3 linked regions of the Oryctolagus cuniculus genome follow. The protein of the gene in region 3 binds, or shares a complex with, the protein of the main gene of each other region. Links are inferred from orthologs where the notes say so. Each region holds a gene or a part of one and is shown on either strand. Other genes may lie near its edges.

What was found. The genes of interacting proteins can lie anywhere in the genome.
Region 1: the proteins of NTRK1 (region 3) and NGF are in contact, whole or in part, in a crystal structure (PDB 1WWW), measured with the Homo sapiens proteins. The link is inferred for Oryctolagus cuniculus from reciprocal best matches to the Homo sapiens genes NTRK1 and NGF. Residues at the interface, in NP_002520.2 of Homo sapiens: His291, Val294, Glu295, Met296, His297, Cys300, Pro302, Phe303, Ser304, Leu333, Glu334, His343, Gly344, Cys345, Arg347, Thr352, His353, Met379, Asp380, Pro382; in NP_001424474.1 of Homo sapiens: His125, Pro126, Ile127, Phe128, Arg130, Gly131, Glu132, Phe133, Ser134, Ser138, Ser140, Trp142, Tyr173, Phe175, Arg180.
Region 2: the proteins of NTRK1 (region 3) and SHC1 are in contact, whole or in part, in an NMR structure (PDB 1SHC), measured with the Homo sapiens proteins. The link is inferred for Oryctolagus cuniculus from reciprocal best matches to the Homo sapiens genes NTRK1 and SHC1. Residues at the interface, in NP_002520.2 of Homo sapiens: His489, Ile490, Ile491, Glu492, Asn493, Pro494, Gln495, Tyr496, Phe497; in NP_892113.4 of Homo sapiens: Met176, Arg177, Ala178, Leu179, Ser259, Ile260, Ser261, Phe262, Ala263, Ser264, Gly265, Gly266, Lys279, Asn283, Arg285, Ile301, Ile304, Gly305, Phe308, Glu309, Phe312, Lys313, Gln314, Tyr315.

What each region holds. Positions count from the first base shown.
Region 1 is NC_091438.1:55,015,002-55,020,775, forward strand, and holds the start of NGF (beta-nerve growth factor), read left to right. Parts: upstream 1-2,245; 5' UTR 2,246-2,264; intron 2,265-2,340; exon of another isoform or gene 2,341-2,428; intron 2,429-5,774. UniProt on the Homo sapiens protein: Nerve growth factor is important for the development and maintenance of the sympathetic and sensory nervous systems.
Region 2 is NC_091438.1:43,538,055-43,543,918, reverse strand, and holds the start of SHC1 (SHC-transforming protein 1), read right to left. Parts: upstream 3,530-5,864; 5' UTR 3,294-3,529; coding exon 2,799-3,293; intron 2,259-2,798; coding exon 2,188-2,258; intron 1,692-2,187; coding exon 1,628-1,691; intron 1,511-1,627; coding exon 1,391-1,510; intron 1,163-1,390; coding exon 1,109-1,162; intron 919-1,108; coding exon 867-918; intron 680-866; coding exon 553-679; intron 1-552. UniProt on the Homo sapiens protein: Signaling adapter that couples activated growth factor receptors to signaling pathways. Participates in a signaling cascade initiated by activated KIT and KITLG/SCF.
Region 3 is NC_091438.1:41,936,006-41,941,249, forward strand, and holds part of NTRK1 (high affinity nerve growth factor receptor), read right to left. Parts: intron 3,733-5,244; coding exon 3,406-3,732; intron 2,978-3,405; coding exon 2,960-2,977; intron 2,793-2,959; coding exon 2,737-2,792; intron 2,443-2,736; coding exon 2,340-2,442; intron 1,834-2,339; coding exon 1,687-1,833; intron 1,265-1,686; coding exon 1,134-1,264; intron 1,016-1,133; coding exon 843-1,015; intron 1-842. UniProt on the Homo sapiens protein: Receptor tyrosine kinase involved in the development and the maturation of the central and peripheral nervous systems through regulation of proliferation, differentiation and survival of sympathetic and nervous neurons.

The DNA of each region.
Region 1 (5,774 bases), about 13 Mb from region 3:
CATGGGTGGGTGGTGTAACAGTCACAAACGACTCTGACCATTGTGGGCTTCAACAAGCACTTGCTGCCCACCTACTATGCACCAGGCCCCATGCTAGACCTGGGGAGACAGAAATCCACACGGACCGAGCCTAATAGCCAAGCCCACCCTAGAACACAGGCTCTCTGAAAGCAGTGACCAGGACCATCACACAGAGACCGGCACATAGTAGGCTCACAATAAACCTTTGGGGTGCTTGCATGTTTGTTGTTTTCAGGTTCTGACTGACTAAATTCTCAAAGTTCAGGGACGGGAGCAAATCTGGAGAGGGAGGGAGGAGAGGGGCCCTTATTAAACCAGCATGTACCATAAGAATCTGCTCAGCCCTTTGAGGGCTGGGGCGGCCAGCTCAGATTCTGTTCGCATCGTTTTCAATTTCCCTCTTAACATACCACATGAAAAAGGACCACAAGTGCCCCAAATCCTTTTGTCCTTCTGGGTGACGCCACAAGGACACATGGCAAAGCTCCGCATGCAACAAGCAAGCTCCCTGGTACTCTAGAATTTTTAGTCTTCATCCCAAATTCTCAGGGAGCTATTCCGTAGAGCTAGGGGCTGGTGCTTTCAAAGCAAGTTTGTATACGACATGATTGATGGGCCGGCATATCCTATTGTCTGGAAATCCCTTTGTTTAATCATCAATGATAAATTGCCTAATGGACCACCCTGGCTGTGATGCTCCTGTGGCAAAAAGCGCCGTTTACGGTGGTCCCTGGCCTCTTGCCCCAGCCCCCGGCCCCCAACCTGTGCACATCCAGCAGCCTGCATGTGAACAGCTCAGCCCGGGACAAGCCTTTGCTGGGGACTGCTGAGGACACCCCAAAGCTCACGCTCAGTTCCAATTCTCAGGTTTCCTTCCTTCCTCATTCTTGTCCCCGCAGGAATAAAGGGCCTGAATTTAGGACGGCGGGGGGGGGGGGGGGGGCGCAAAGGTGGGGAGAGAAAGGAGCAGAGACCTCAGGCCAAGTTAAGCCAAGAGCATCGGCAATGCCCAGGCAAGGCTGAAGGAGACCGGCCACCCTGCACTTCCGCCAGGAGCCCGGGGCCTCGCCAAGATCTCCGCGCGCTGGGCTGCACTGCCTCTGGCTTGTGCTGCCCGGTGTGAGGTGTGAAGTCACCAGTAACTCAGGGAGACGCAAGCCCTCCTCCGCCCTCTCCAGCACTCTCCCCGCTTCCATTCCTCCCCTGCAGCATCCACACAGGGTAGGGACTCGGCATGCCTCTGCCGAAGCCCGTAAGCGAACGCATCCGGCAAGCTCACGGCAGGGAGGGAGGGGCAGGGATGCAGTTTTGCGAAGACTTGTAGTTCCGGAGCGTGTTATTCTGGTTAATGATGCCCACTGGTGAGAACTCTGGTTTGAGGGGTATTTCTCCCCGGCTAGCCTGGGGCTGGGCTGGAAACGGCCTGAGCTGAAGGGCAAGCCGGCTCCCGATGGACAAAAGCCCCGTCAGGCCGTGAACCCCAAAGTATTGGAAAGGCCGCCTCACCTCAGGTGTGCATAAAGGGGGCTTGTGGGCAGGGTCGCCATCTACATCAGTTTGAGGTCAAAGACTCTTTGCAAAACCAACAAAAGCTGCGGATCTTCGACCCAGAAAAACGCAGGCATCCGGCACACACTGCAAGCCCACCTGTGATTACAGGAGGGTTGGGGACCCTGGACAGTCTTTAATTAAGGCCCAGGGTCTACATTCTGACGCCTAAGGTCCTCTGACCCTAACTCCACGCCGACCTCGCTCCCGCCCCCAGAGCCTAGCACCGGCTCTGGCAGCTGCTGCCCGCCCTGGTGGCAAAGGAGCCAAGGGCATCCTGCACCCCGCGCGGCTCCCCCGGGTGCTCGCTTAGCCCCTCCACAGGGCGCGGGAGCAGCCAACGCCTGGGGCACCGAGGGCCAAGTGGCGCAGACCAGGGAGGCGCGGGCGGCCGGCAGCGCGCGGGGGCAGGGCAGGACGGCGAGGGCAGCGCTGCGCAACTCCGCCCCGCCCCGCCCCGGCTCAGGGGCGTCGGGGGCTGGCACCCCTGCCCGGAGCGCCAGAAAAGCCCCAGCCCGGCTTCGGCCGCGCGCCAGCTCCCACCCCGGCGCCTTTCCCTTCGACCCCCGGAGGTTCGTTGACCTCTGGAGGTCTGAATCCTTCCCCCGGCTTGGCCCTGCCAGCCCTCCCGGGAGAGAGCGATCGCTCGTCCTCAGGACCCCCTACAGCCGGGCATCTTGGCGTGGCCACAGCAGGTGCGGGGCTGGGGGTGGGGAGGGGTGGGGTGGGGGTGCAGAATTAAGAGCGGGTGTGACTCAGGAGTCCGGGAGGAGGGGCTAAGAATTCAAGAAGCCTGTGCTGGAGCAGCTCGGCGCTCCGGCTCAGCAGAGAGCGCTGGGAGCCCGAGGGGAGCGCAGCGGTGAGTCAGGCTGCCCCGAGCCGAGCCCGAGAGGGGTGCAGCGCGGGCGCTGGCGGGCCGGGGCGGCGGGGCTCCCCGGGAGACTGTGCTTGGAGCCCGGTCGGGCGAGCTCTCCGGGCACCCCCGAGAGGAGTGTCCCTAGAGGGCGCGAGACCCTTGGCTGGCGGGCGGGCGGGTGGAAGGGCGCAGCGCTCCCTCTGGTCCTGGGGCACGGTCCCGGGATGGCCAGAAGTGCGAGAGGCCACCTGGCTCCTGCAGAAGCCGCACGGCCATGCCTGGGAGCAGCTCGAGGGCCGGAAGGGGACAGCGCGCAAGTGAGGGAGAGCGAATGCGCGTGGCGAGAGGGATGCGCGGGCAGCAAGCGCGCCGGGGTTGGCGAGTGGTGGCCCGCGCCGCGGAGGGCTCCGGGCGCCGGAGTGGCTAAAGTGCTTCACTGCCCGCAGGTATCAGGACGAGCGGGCCAGGGAGCGCTGGAGCTGGTGCAAGGAATAGGGCGAGGGTCTCAGGGCTTGCCCGCGCGTCGTAGAAGGCCTTGGGGGTCCGGCCTGGGGTCCTCCACGGGTTGACACTGGCAGCCTGCGCGCCAAGTGCCGGGGTTCAGCATCTGCGCTGCACATCCTCGGGAGGTCGCCAAGGCTCAGCCCTGCCCCTGGGTCACATGCCTCACCTCTAGCTGTGTGTTGCCAGGTGTGGGAGAGCTGGCAACGGCAGGCTGGGGTGGGCAGCGCCGTGGGTTCAGGCAGCGAGGCTGGAGGGGCGGGAGAGAGAGGACTCAGGGGTCAGGGAGCTACAACTTTGAGCCAACATAAACAAGCAACTTAGCTCTGCTTGCTTATGCTCTTCTCCCCCCCCCCCCCCCCCCCGATCTCTGAGAATCTCGTGGAAGGTGTTTTCTGCTTGAACTTTCTCTTCTCTCATGACTTGAGAGATTAAAAAAGAGCCTGCTTGCTAGGCTGGTTTTTCCAAGTTGTTCCAGGTTGGAAGTTGTAACAGTTTGAAGGATAATTTATGGGTGTTTTGTGCGTTAACGTGTATTACAGCAAAGCCTTTTGGGTGCTGTGGGTATTAAGGAAAACTCAGTGCACGTTCCCAGCTGGAAACCAAAATAGTGCTCTCCTGGGTGTCTCTGCCCCCTCTGGCATCTGAGGCCAGTGGAAATCCTGGAGAAAAGGCACTTGATGAATTGTCCTGGCTCCATCCGCTGGGCACACCCACTGCCCTGCCAGGCCCCTCCCCCCACCACAGGCATGGCCAGCTGCATTCTGCACATTCAGAAACGGGGATGGAGGGCCCTCCAGGGGCTGCCCTCGGGGGTCTTGAGCCTCCTGAAGCTGACGGTGAAGTCCGCCGGTTGGCCTGAACTCTTGCTCCCTGTGCAGAGGCACGCGGAGAGGCTGCCTTTGGCCGTCAGGCCTCTGCTGTTGAGGAAGTCATAGCCAAGGTGGGCACCTGGTGCCAACTCAGGATGGCAGTATTCCCAGGGGTCCAGGGAGCACTGGTGGCCCCCGGGGTGAGAGTGGTCTGGGGGCTGAGGACCAGTGCATCTGGCATGGATTCTCAGGAGCAGTGAGTGTCCCTCTTGCTGGGGAGGGGGAAGGGGAGGGGTTCGTGCCACGTGCGGCCAAACTCCTCCCTCATCTGCATCCTAACATCTGTAGGCAGGAAAGAAAAGGGACACCTGGAAGAGCAGCCAGTTAGGAGGCACCGCAGACAGGAAGGCCGGGTCGTTGGGCCTGGAAACACACGTCTGGATAGAACCGGACAAGTACCTCGGAGGACTTGATAAGCAGCCATAGGTACTGCTGCCTTCCCTGGGCAGCCGTCTTACTCCAGGCCCCCTAGCGAACTGGGCCTGCTGGGGGTGGTCACCCTAGTGGCTGTGGCTCTTTCCCTACACTTACTCCTTAGCAAGGAATGAGGCTCTCGCTTTCTGCTGCGCCTCCCACCCCAAGGACCAGTGGGAACCCGGGAGGAGGCTTCACCCTCCCATTCCCTTTCTGGGAGAAAGCTGTGCCTTGGCCAGGAAGGGGGCCCCAGCTGCCGACATCGGTAGGGAGGGTAGGGCATGGCAGGGCAGGGCTGGAGCCCGAGGGGAGTTTCTCATCATTGCTGAAATTCAAATGATGAGAAAATCACACAACGTTACTTTCTGGTGAGTGCTGGGTGCCGCTGCTGCTCACTCGAGGGTGCTCAGCCGGAACACACCGCATCGGAGCTTCAGAGGGAACCACAGACAGAGCCGGTCACTGTTCTTCTGTACCGGGCATGGAGTGGGGCCGAGGCACAGACCCCCGAGCAGACGTTCATGCCAGACTTGAGACCAGAGGCCTGGCCGTTTACTTCTCCCAGTAAGAACTTGGAGGGACTTCAGGTCCGGAGCAGGCTTTGGAGACCTTTGCTGGCAGCATGTACTCGCTCTGCTCCCAAGAGGCTGTGGAAGGTTTGCAGAGGGCATGTACTGCATGCATCTCTGGATATCTGTGAGCAAACAGGCCATGTTCCCAGAAGGTGTCTCCTTCTTTGCCTGGCACCTTGGAGCTTGCAAACCATCTGCCCTCGGGGCTGAGACGTGCTGCAGAAGCCTGCTCCGTGGCGGACCAGTTTCACAGAACAGCATATGGTGGCATCAGTCAGATAAATGAGGACAAAGGACCCTTGCCCACCCCATTCCCAAGACCCCTCACTTGCTGACAGTGGGAAGACAGTTAAGACACCGGCTGCAAACAGCAGCAAGACCAGGATGCCCTTGAGGCTGCTGAAGCAGCTGGAGAAACTGAGGCTGTGGGCCTGGCCTTTCAGTTGGGTGTGCACAAGTGTGGAAGTGTTGCTATTTGAGCCAGGAATAGACTGTTAGCCACAGAGTTTAGTCAAGACCAGAAAAATGAAAACATACGATCGCAATGAGTTTCTTGTGGTTTGGGATATTTGCCTCACTCTTCTGCAGACTCCTTTGCAGGCTTCGGAGGAGTTTCTGTAGGCTGTTGGCTTCCGCCTATGGTAGCAGTAGGAATCGGATTGAGAAGCAGGGACGATCTCTTGATGTTTTTCTCCTGTTTTTCGGGAAAACGGCCAGCGGTGGTTTTCTCAGTTGTGGCAAAGGAAGGAAAGTAGCTTTGCGACCCTGAGCAAGTGACTCAACAGCTAGGGCGTCACTTTCCCAAACTAGAAGGCAAATGCAGTGGATGAGCGCGGTTTCTCAGCAGGCCTATTAGCACGTCTCGGGTAAGTGTGACCGATCTGCACAGTGCAGGAGGTTTAGTATTCCTGCCTCCCCTCCTAAGTGTCGGGAGTCACGGTGACAGCCCCCAACAGCCCTCCTGCAGGGCTAGATGCTTGCATTGAAAGG
Region 2 (5,864 bases), about 1.6 Mb from region 3:
TTACAGCTCATGCCCTTGACCACCAGGCTATTTCCTGAGAGGAAGGGGAAGCACGAAATAGTGGGGAGGGCATGTGCCGGAGGACTTGAACTTCCAAATACACCATCCCTACTGGCCCACTGCTCATTCCTTAAAGCCTACAGTGGGAAAGGAAGGGGTCTCAGGACAAACAGCCTTCCTCCAAGATCCACGAGCCTGGTGGCTTCTAGAAATAGGAAAACACAGAAAATGAAAGAGAAATAGGCAAGAAAGAGGGCGAGGCTAGTAATGAGGTGGCGGCTGGGAAGAGAAAAGCTCATTCAGCCAGAGAAAGAAATGCAGTTTGGAGGCCCTGAAATACAGCCCCACCACAGGCAAGCGAGAGGAAGAGCTGGCCCTGCAGCAGGCGGCCTAATGGCCACCGGAAACCCAAGAATCGCAGGAAGTAGGAAGCAGGGCACACAGGTTATTTCTTTCCCTGAACCTCCCCGAGCTCTGGCGTGGGAAGAGTAGACCTGCATTCCCAATCTGGGTCTGGGGCCCAACAGCTGGCCCACACCCCACCGTGCTCACCTGTCATGGGGGGTGACCAGCTTGGGTGGGTTCCTGAGGTATTGTTTGAAGCGTAACTCGAAGGCCTGGCCAATGGTGCTGATGACATCCTGGGCAAGCCCTTCGGGACACTCCAGGATGTGGCAGGCTGCAGGTACAGCGAAGGCTGCCGGTGAGCTCTGAGGCGGGGTCTCGGGCGGGGGTGTGGGGGACTGATCCTCCTCAGCAGAAGCCCCTCCTCATCTCTGCTCGGTGAGAGGGGAAGGGCGGCCCTGGTCCCCCTCACCTGCCGCACCGCCATCCCGCCCCACCCAGTGCGCCCCACCATGCCTCACCTCTCTGATTCACGGGGTCTTTGGCAACGTAGGCAACATACTCGGCTGTGTCCTAAGACAGACAGAGTGAGAAGGGGCAGGTTAGCTAAATTCTACAGCTCCACCTTACTCCTGATGCCTAAACCCAGTCTTTTTCAAATACCTCTGCAACCCTACCTCCCCCACTGCCCTGGCTGATGGCTTCCCAATCCTTAGCCCCTTCCCCTCCCCCCCCCCAACCTGTGCTCTGTTCCCCAACTCACCGGATCTCCGCCGGACGCAAATGAGATAGACTGCATGTGGTGGTTGGCAATGATCTGAGAATTGGCACGGGGGATGGAAAAGGAAAAGAATGGCATGTGTCAGCCCCCACCCCTGGCCCAGAACCCTGCCGTCCCAGCCTCATTCTCTTAGCTTCTCACCCTAACTTCTTCCTACCTTCTGGCTACTCCAAAGCCCTCCACCTTAGTTTTTGGCCTCACAACTACATCTGCCCCTAGCCCTACCTCCCATGTCTCTGGTACCCCCTACCTAACCCCACCAACCTGTTTACAGTCTGCGGCCATGAGGTTGAGGCTGCTGGTGGAGACGGTGAGAGTGATTGGCATTCCAGCAAATTTCAGGTTACTCCTCCCCAGGATAGAGCTGAGCGGGCGGCCACAGGGCTAGAAAAGGCCCAGAGTCTCAGAAGCCGAGGGTTCCCGACACCAGGAAACACTTCTGCCTTCCCCTTGCCCCTCCACATCACCCAGCACCATCCCAGCCCCAGCCACCCCAGGTACCTTTCTCCTCCGTGTGGCTCCCTTAGCACCCGGCACAGCCTCACACACCAGACTGATGGCCTCCCTGGGGAAAGAGGGGTGCTCAGACCCACAGGCTGCCTCCCACTCGGCTGGGGCTGCCACAGGGCTGGGGGAGGGGAGGGCCAGGCCAGACTCCCAGGGCACTCCAGGCTCTTTGTCGTGGTGGATTGAATTAAGGGCCTTTAATATTTGATGACACTGAGAGGCCGCTTCCTGGCTGATTGGGTTAGGGCCTCAATGGGTACGGCCCCACCCCCTTCCAGCCACCAAACCTCCCATTCCCTTCCCAAAGGCAGCAGCCACCACCGGTCTAACCCCACTTTCTGCCCTAGCCCCACAACTCTAAAGGCCGGAGAGGTAACAAGGATCCAGCCCAGAGGTGTCTCTTTTCAGTCACACTTGGACTCACTGTCCCAACTTTCTCTCAACCCACCTGCCCACCCACAGGTAGGCCACCTGCACCAAGGGCCCCACTCCCCATTCCCACAGCCTTACTAACCCCAGGACTCCCACAAGCCCTCCCCCTCCCCCCCACTAACCTGGTGACCTGCGTCCGGGTGTTGAAGTCGAGGGCACGCATTGACTGCAGGACCTCCACACAGCCCATGTACTGAGGGGAGGGGGACAGCAGTTCAGCCACCTCCCCCCACCCCAGCGCTAGGGCCCTAGGACTTTTCCCTCCATAGTCCCTAAGGGAAGGAAAGCTGAGGCAGCTCGCTCACTGCCCGCAGCTACATCCCACAATGTACAAGACAACGGGGAGTGAGGAGAGAGAGAGAGAGAGGACAAGCTGGGAGCGCCTCATGCACTGGGGGAGACTGGAGGGCAGTGCTGGGCACTGGGTGGGATGGGTGACACCTCCAGAAGCGGGAGGGGTCCACCGGGGGGAGTCCAGGAGTCCTCATGCCCACACTCGCCTCCGAGGTGCTGGGCATTGTGCGAAGCATGGCAGGGTGGGGGTGGGTAGGCAAAAGAAGGAGGAGGGCCCTGGCAGAGCTGGAAGAGGTCAGAGATCAGGCAGAAAGGTTAAGAAGCAGGACGCGGCGACAGAGGGGCTGCTGAGGGAGAGCAGGAGGAGTCCCACAAAGCTGCCGCGAGCAGAGGAGCTGCAGGGGTATGGGAGGGAGTGCAGGGGAGGATGTTCACTCACCCGAACCAAGTAGGAAACCCCAGGTCCCATGACTTTGTCGTTGGGATGCAGCCAGCCCCGCGTGGGCTTATTGACAAAGCTCCCGTGGCGGGTCCACTCCTCGCCCCCCAGCTGGCCCCCTTCCACCCGAGTCCTGCGCCCGCCGCCTCCACTCAGCTTGTTCATGTCCTGGAGGAGGGGCAGGGGGCCTGAGTCCGGCATGGCTGCCCCTGTGATCCCCTCCCCATCCTCGGCTGCCCTTCCTGGCTCCCCCTTGGGCCCCAGGCGGCCCCCAGCAGGGTTGGCCAGCTTCAGGTTGCTCATCCGGGGGAAGAAGGAGCACAGGGTGGTGGGACTGTCGTCCCCGGGCAGAGGGGGCAGGATTGGCCCCAGGGACGAGGCTGAAGGGGAAGGCAGCTCCTCCGGAGGGGTGGACCCTGAAGCCCCCTCTTCCAGCGACGACAGAGACTCATTCCGAAGTGGGTTGTACTTGGGCTTGGGGGGCAAGAGATCCATGGCTGGGGCGAGAGCAGGGCTGCTGCCCGGCCCGGCCCCCCTGCCAGCTGGGGCAAGGGGGCCAGGCAGGGGGCATCCCCAGGCCCCGAGCCTGCCGGGCCTCTGTGGCCCAGGAGGGGCAGGAGTCCTGGGGAGGGAGAGGGGCAAGTGGCTTCCGCTCCCCCAGCTCAGACCCAGACAGTTTCAGGCCCCATCCCCGCCCAGCGTGGAGCCTCTTCTCTGGCAGAGAAGAGAACAGGCTGGACCCAGAGCTGCCTGGCTCCTCCCCAGGGGCGGGGAGCTAAGGAGAGAGACCAATCCGGAGGACAGTGCTGACTCACAGGCTCAGAGGGGCTGAGCCCCCACTGCCGCCGCCCCAGCCCAGAACTCAGGCAGGGGCAGAGCTATCCTGCCCCTCTCCCCTACCCTAAACAAACAACTAGTGATCTGGGGGAGAAGTGGGAGTTTGGAGGAAAGGATGGAGGAGGAAGGAGAGGAGGGAGATAAGAGACGGTCTGGATCAATCCAAACCGGACATGGGCAGGAAGTCAGGGGAGGGGAGGGGGAATGAGGGAGGAAACAGAGGCAGCTGGGGGTGGAAAAGGGAGGAGATCCCAGAGCTCAGCATTTCCCTTCCTGTCCTGCTGGAACACGCAAATTCCTCCATGGTCCAGCCCAGGCCACCCCTCATCACTGCCACATCCAGTGGGGTGAGGGCCCCAGGGAGCTTAGGCCATTAGCATCCTCTTCCAGGGCAGCTGTGGAATGGAACTAGGGAAATGGGAAAAGGAAGGAAGTGGTCCCAGTGGGTGCACACTGGGACCCAGAGGAAGGGCAAAACTTGGGAAGTCAGGGAAATAAAAGCCCAACCCCAGGGGGCCACCAAGGAGCCAGCAGGCTAGAGCTGCAGCCAGAGGACGTGTGGGTCAAGCCTCCTCCTCTGCTCCTGGCACCCACCACACCAAGCAGGCAGTGGCCAGTGGCCAAGCACTGTTCTGCACGCTGGCAAGGGTGAGGACAGGGCAGTCCCTGGGCCCACCAGGTATCCTCCCAGCCCTCCTCCAGCAGTGCCCCTCACACCAGGGGAGGAGTCACCAAGCGATGGAGGTCAGGAGGCAGGCAAACATGTGGCAGTGAACCATGTGCGGAGAACAGTCCCAAACCTCCAAACCTCCGTGGCTTCCTGCCACAGCTCTGCTTGAGGAAGCCTTGGAGGAAGTTGGAAAATGACCAAAACACAAGAAGTAGATACCTCTTCCCCTAGGCTCACCTCGGAATTACCCTTAGCTCTAAGTCAGAAGATTAAAAGAAATCTATAACGATGACCAATTCTAGCACTTAAAATGTGCTAGATACGCTCTCACCTCCTCTTCGTCCTCATGGCAGGAGAATCTGTCACTCTATTTCCTAAGACCCCAGGCCGAGAGAAGGAAAGGTTTCTTCCACAGCCACACACACACACACACACACACACACCCTCATCCTTAGGGTCAGCACTCTCTGGAAGCCTGCAGTATGGGCAGGCAGAGGATGACCAACAGGTGTGAGCATTTCAAAGAAAAGAGGGAGTCTGTCTCTAAATTTGCATAGGGAGAAGTGAGAGCCTACTGGAAGTTCAGGTGATTGGGTGTTGGAGGGGGGAGCCCAGCAGGGAGGAGGCGGGAGGAGCGGGAAGGGGCAGGAAATGGCGAAAGCCTGAGGAATGTTTCCAGCAGGGAAGGCAGGACAAGTGGAGCCAGGAGGAATGCCCAGACAAGAATTTTGGCTGGGGGTGCGGGGGATGGAGCCAAACAAGTAGAGGCTGAGGAGTCCCTTAAAAGAAAAAAGAAAAAAAAACAGGATACAAATCCCTAACCCCATTGCAAACCACCGTTTTCTGGTAGTACAAAGTTCTCTCTCCTGTCACGTCCTCAAGCCACACATCAGCAAATCCACGGCCCTGTCTAGCCACAGCCTCAACCTACAGCTGTTTCTGCGGTGGGCTGGGAAACTATGAGCAAGCCTCTGTCCCGTCCTCGGGCCAAACCCCAAGCCCAGGCCCACCCTTGGGGGAGGATAAGGCTGCCTCTAATCTCACTCCTCAGAGCTCCCACCTAGTGGAGCGGGAAAGCCCTCGGGAAAACTGAGCCCAAGGCCCCAAGAGAGAAAGGACAGGAAACGTAAGCAGGTGGAGCTTCTGAGACTGAGGAAACTGGGGTGATGACTTGGGTGCCACCCGGATCGAGTTCCTTAGGGGGCGTGGCCCTCTAGGATGCGCAGCAGACTTCCAGGAGATGAGGCTCCGGGACAATCGGACGTGGATTGCGGAAGGGGCGGGGCTTCTATGGGCGGGGCCTATCGAGGGGCGTGGCCTCAGTGAATTCGAATCGTTCTTTCAAGAGCAGAGCTTTGCCCTTTTGGGAGATAGGATCTTTGACAGACAGGAGTTAGCGGAGAATCGTCGCGAGGAGGAGGCGGAGTTTGGAAGAACTGGGAGGACTAACGAAGCGTTTCTTGTGGAGCTGGAAGCATGTCTGGGGGTGGGACTTCCAGGAAAACTGGGCTACAGGGAGGGGTCGGAGACAATAAATTTAAAAACTGGGGTTCAGGGAG
Region 3 (5,244 bases):
AGTAGGGGCTCTGCCTGGGGTCACATCTCCCCATCTCCCCCACCCCCCATCCCAGGCCATCTCCTACATGTGTGGCCCTGGGCAAGCCACTTAAGCCCTCTAAGCTTTTTCTGTGAAACAGGCACAATTTCTTGAAATTACTAAAATTAATGAACACAAAACCAAAGAAACAAATTTCTGGTCACCTTCTTGAAACTGCCATACATACTTGGAGACTATGAAAATACAGATTTGGGGGCCGGCGTTGTGGCGGAATGGGGTAAGCCACCGCCTGGAATGCTGGCATCCCATTTGGACACCGGTTCGCATCCTGACTGCTCCACTTCTGATCCAGCTCCCTACTAATGTGCCTGGGAAAGCAGCAGAAGATGGCCCAAGTGCCTGGGCCCCTGCACCCATGTAGGAGACCCAGAAGAGGGGAGTAAACCAGTAAATGGAAGATATCTCTCTCTCTCTCTCTCTCTCTCTCTCTCTTCTTTCTCTCCCTCTCTGTAACTCTGCCCTTCATATAAAAATAAAATAAATCTTTAGAAAAAGAAAATATAGATTTGTATTATTGTACAAAATATATACGTGCAAGCACAGAGTCGTAGCAAGAGTGAATTATAAAGTACCCAGAAAGGACCTGATGAGTGTTATTGCTGACGCTGTCACCATGGCTACCTAAGGGTCCCACTTCTGCCCCCTCTCCCAGCTCGCCGATCCTCAGGGACAGGCGCTGTGCCTTTCTCTTCTCTTCCTTCTAGGGGTCCTCCCAGGTTTGATGGCCCAGCGGGGACGTGCGGGCGGGGGAAGCGCAGAGGGCACGCAGAGCCAGGGGCCACGGCGCCAGCGGCTCCTACCGGAGGAAGCGGTTGAGGTCTCCGTGCCGCATGTACTCAAAGACCATGAGCAGCGGGCGGCCCTCGGTGCACACGCCGAAGAAGCGCACGATGTGCTGGTGCCGCAGCATGGTGAGCAGCTCGGCCTCGCGCTGGAAGTCCTGCCGCGCGCTCTCAGACGCCTCCTTCAGCGCCTGGGGGCAGGGGAGGGACTGAGCGGCCCAGCCCCTCCCCACCAAACACCCCCCCTCCCCCTCACACCCTGCCAATCCTGGGTGGGCAGACGCGGCTGCCTCGAGACCCGGGTCTCACCTTGACCGCCACCAGCGTCTTGTCCTGCTCGGGCAGCAGGTGGTGGCACTCGGCCAGGAAGACCTTCCCAAAGGCGCCCTCGCCCAGCTCCCACTTGAGCACGATGTCCCGGCGTTTAATATGATGGACACCTGGAGGGGGCTGCGGGGTCAGGCAGGGCCCAGGTTGGGGCGGCACCGGGGGAGGGTTGGAGAGGAGGCAGGGCCATCAAAGGGGTGGATGGGGACTGAAATCCAGCCTGCACTCTGTCACCAAGCCCCATGTGCTGGTGTGGGGCTGCCTCTGCCCCCGAGAGACACGGTGTGGGCCTTGGGTGGCCCCCCCGGGGGGGGGCCTGCAGATGGGAGTCAGGTTGATCTCAGCCTGGGGAAGGTCTGATGTTGCTGGGGAAGGGGTAGGGGAGGTGGGAGGCAGGGAGGGCCTGGAACAGGCAAAGACGATGGCCCAGAGGCCTCTGCTACACACATGCATATTCTCCTCTCTCTCTCTCTCTCTCTCTCTCTCTCTCTCTCTCACTCTCTGCTCCCATCCTTGACCCAGCATAGCCCCTCACAGGCATCGCTGAAGTACTGTGGGTTCTCAATGATGTGGCCTTGGAGCCCGGAGCCTTTGCCATCAGTAGGGGACAGAGAGCTGCCACCCAATGTCATGAAATGCAGGGACATGGCCAGTCCATCTTCTGGAGCCAGCACCGCAGGCCCTGGGGAAGAGACACAGCCGGGTGGAGGGGTCACAGGCCAGGTGCAGACCTGGGCCCTCACCCACCCTTGTTTGCAGGGTGATAGGACACCCCCAGCTCCTAACTGGCCTGAGACAGACAGGAGCTAGGGAGCGAGTCGGCAGGCAGGGGGAGGGGCGGCATCGCAGCCTCTCTTCTGTCTGGCTCCTGTCCAACTCCTGGCCCCATGGGCACCAAAGAACTCCCCCACTGCCACCCCCCCACCGAGCCCAGGCCTCCCAGACCCACTTAGTGCTTGAGTGCGATCCAGCCGCCAATTAGCAGCTGCTCCCGACGAAACTACGGCGGCACCAGCCCCGCCACACACACACTCACATCCACGGGCCCCACAGCCGGGCCTCGCCTCTACCCCAAACACACCCCCTGGAACACCACATGCGCAGAGACAGACAGAGGCCTGAGCCAGCAGGAGACAAAGCCCGGAGGACAGACAGACAGACAGACAGCCCTCAGCAGCCCCAACTCACGGTTGATCCCAAACTTGTTCCTCCGTCCACATTTGTTGAGGACGAGAAGCAGTGTGGAAAGGAAAAGGCAGGCAAAGACAGCCAGGCCCACAGCCACCGAGACCTGGGGGCGGGGCGGGGAGCTCCAGGGCCTGCCGCACTCCAGGGCGCACCCCTGCCCCCAGCAAACCTCTTTTCCATCCTGCATAGGAGCGCAGAGCCAAGACCACCACTCCCCGCCCCCAGCCACACACCACCTGCCTCCACCTCCCCCAGGGACACAGGCCTGGCCGTGAAGGTGGCTGGCAGAGCTCAGGCCAGACCACAGGTGACCTCCCTGCTCTGGCCAGAAGGGTTCGCGGCTGCTCCCCAGCCTCCCGACCCGGTGTCCTGGGTCAGCAGCCACCGCCGTGCTCACCCCAAAAGGCGTTTCGTCCTTTTTCTCCACCGGGTCTCCAGAGGTGCTGTTGGCATCTGTGAGGACACCGGGCAGGAAGGGGGCACCTTGGCACACGCCGTGTCCCTTCCAGCAACTCCCCACCCGGTCCCAGAGCGCCTCTCTGACCCAGCCTCAGCTCCAGGGATCACACGGCACCTGCCCTCCCCCACCCACCCCCCAGCCCCGGGACTGGGCTACTCACCCACTGGCGAGAAGGAAACTGCCGCAGGAGGACAGGAGAGAAAGCAGTCAGATGGAGGAGGACAGCAGTGAGCCCCCGGCCCCCTCCCCCCGGGACTCCGCCCTGCGTGGGGTGCGGGTGGGGCTGCTGGGCCTCAAGGGAGAAGGCGCAGGTGGTCCTTTTGCGTCTGAGCCATGGCTGCCTGGTGGCTCTCTCTGCAGCGCCCCCAAGTGGAGGGACTGGCTCAGGACCTCGGGAGCAGCTCAACACTTCTTTGGGGTACTAGCTATGGCAAGCCCTGGCTGGGGGAGGGGCAAGGAGGCCAGCATAGAGCTGGACACCAAGACTCCAGGCTCCTTTCTCTCTGGGACCAGGCACTCCAACTTCCAAGGTCAGGGTCATAGCCCTGGACACCTGGATCTCCACCCCCGATGGCGTCCAGAATGGGGTCAGGGTGACTCTTGTACCAGGGATGGGGTCCTCAGGGTTGAACTCGAAAGGGTTGTCCATGAAGGCAGCCATGATGGAGGCAGCAGCCTGGCCCGAGGGGTTGGTGGCCAGCAGCGTGTAGTTGCCATTGTTGACGTGGGTGGGCTGGTTGAGGCGCAGGCAGCCGTGCCGCATGGTCTCATTGGCCGCTGGCTCCAGGAACTCGGTGAAGATGAAGCTGGTCTCGTTGAGCACGGAGCCATTGAAGAGCCAGTGCAGGGAGGGAGCCGGCTGGCCATCCACGGAGAAGGGGATGCACCAGTGGTGCATCTCCACCGCCGTGTGCAGCTGCACGCTGGCCGGGACTGTGGGCGGAGAGCACATGGCGGGATGTGGGGGCCAGCAGGAGGGGGCCCACCACTACCTGCAGAGTCCTGGGCAGGCGGGGTGGAACCGGAAGTCAAAGGGCCCAAGGGGAAGCTGGTGGGCAGGCCCTAAGAAACTCACAAGGAGCAAGGTTTGGAAGAGGTTCACAGTAAGTGCTCAGTGACTCTGGCAGAGGAGGGGAAAATTCTGAGAGCTGAATGCCTTTGGTGGGAGCTTTAAAATGAAGAACAGCCCTAGAGAAGTGGAGTACGGGCTTACGGCAAGGAAATATGGAGTCTTTTGGATAAGATACCTAGAAAACTTTAGGGTAACCATGCTTATGAAAAAGGGGCAGGGAGCCTAGAAGCCAAACAAGCAAGGGCCGGCGCTGTGGCATAGTGGGTAAAGCTGCCACCTGCAATGCTGGCATCCTATATCAGCACTGGGTTCAAGTCTCAGCTACTCTACTTCCAACCCAGCTCCCTGCTAATGGCTTGGGAAAAGCAGAGGAAGATGGCCCAAGTCCCTGGGCCCCTGTACCCACACAGGAGATCTGAAGAAGCTCCTGGCTCCTGGCTTCAGCCTGGCCCAGCACTGGCCATTATGGTCATCTGGGAAGGGAACCAGTGGATGGAAGACCTCTCTCTCTCTCTGTAACTCTGACTTTCAAAATAAATAAGCAAATCTTTAAAATAACCAAGATATATATATATATATACATATATATATACACATATAAACACACACAGTTTGAAAACTTCTTGAAAAACGTTTGAAATAGACTCAAACTGGAAAAAGCAAAGGCCCTTCAGTAATAGAAAACAACATGAATGTGTGCATTAACGTAAGTTTACACTGGAATTCCAGCCACAATGGAATATTACTCAGCAGTGAGCCAAATGAACCATTATTCTCATTATCAGGGATGAATTTTACAAAGACAAAAGATGATGGTGTTCCCTTGCGAGTATAATGGAGCTGAGAAATTGCCTGTCACCTGGATTTGGGCTGTACTTTTCTGCATTTAGATCTGGGCATTCCCTTTGTGTCACAACTGTCTACAGTGTTCAGGACGGTCGCACGCTGTACAGCGTTCCAGCCTAGGTCTGTAGCAGGCCACACCTCCCCGGCTTGAGGAAGCATCTAGGATGTTCACACAATGGCAATCACGTAACAGTGTGTCTCTCAGAACGCGTCCCACTGAGTAAGCGGTGCTATGGAGACACAAAACAAGACAGCCCCGCTCTGCAGACTTCCCTGTCTGGGATGAGCCACAGGACCAGGGTGGTCCCGGAAGGTCTGAATGCAGTTGCAAAAGCCCTGTTGCCGAGTGACATCACAGCCACTGTCACAACGCAGTGGGGCCACACATTCCTCAGGTGTCGGTGGTGATGCCGCTGTAGACACACCTACTGCACTGCCTGCCCCGTAGAAGCCCAGCTCACAGGCTCGCCCACACCAGGTGTGGAGTGCGCTGGCCCACCCAGGCTGCTGTGAGTCCCCTCTATGAC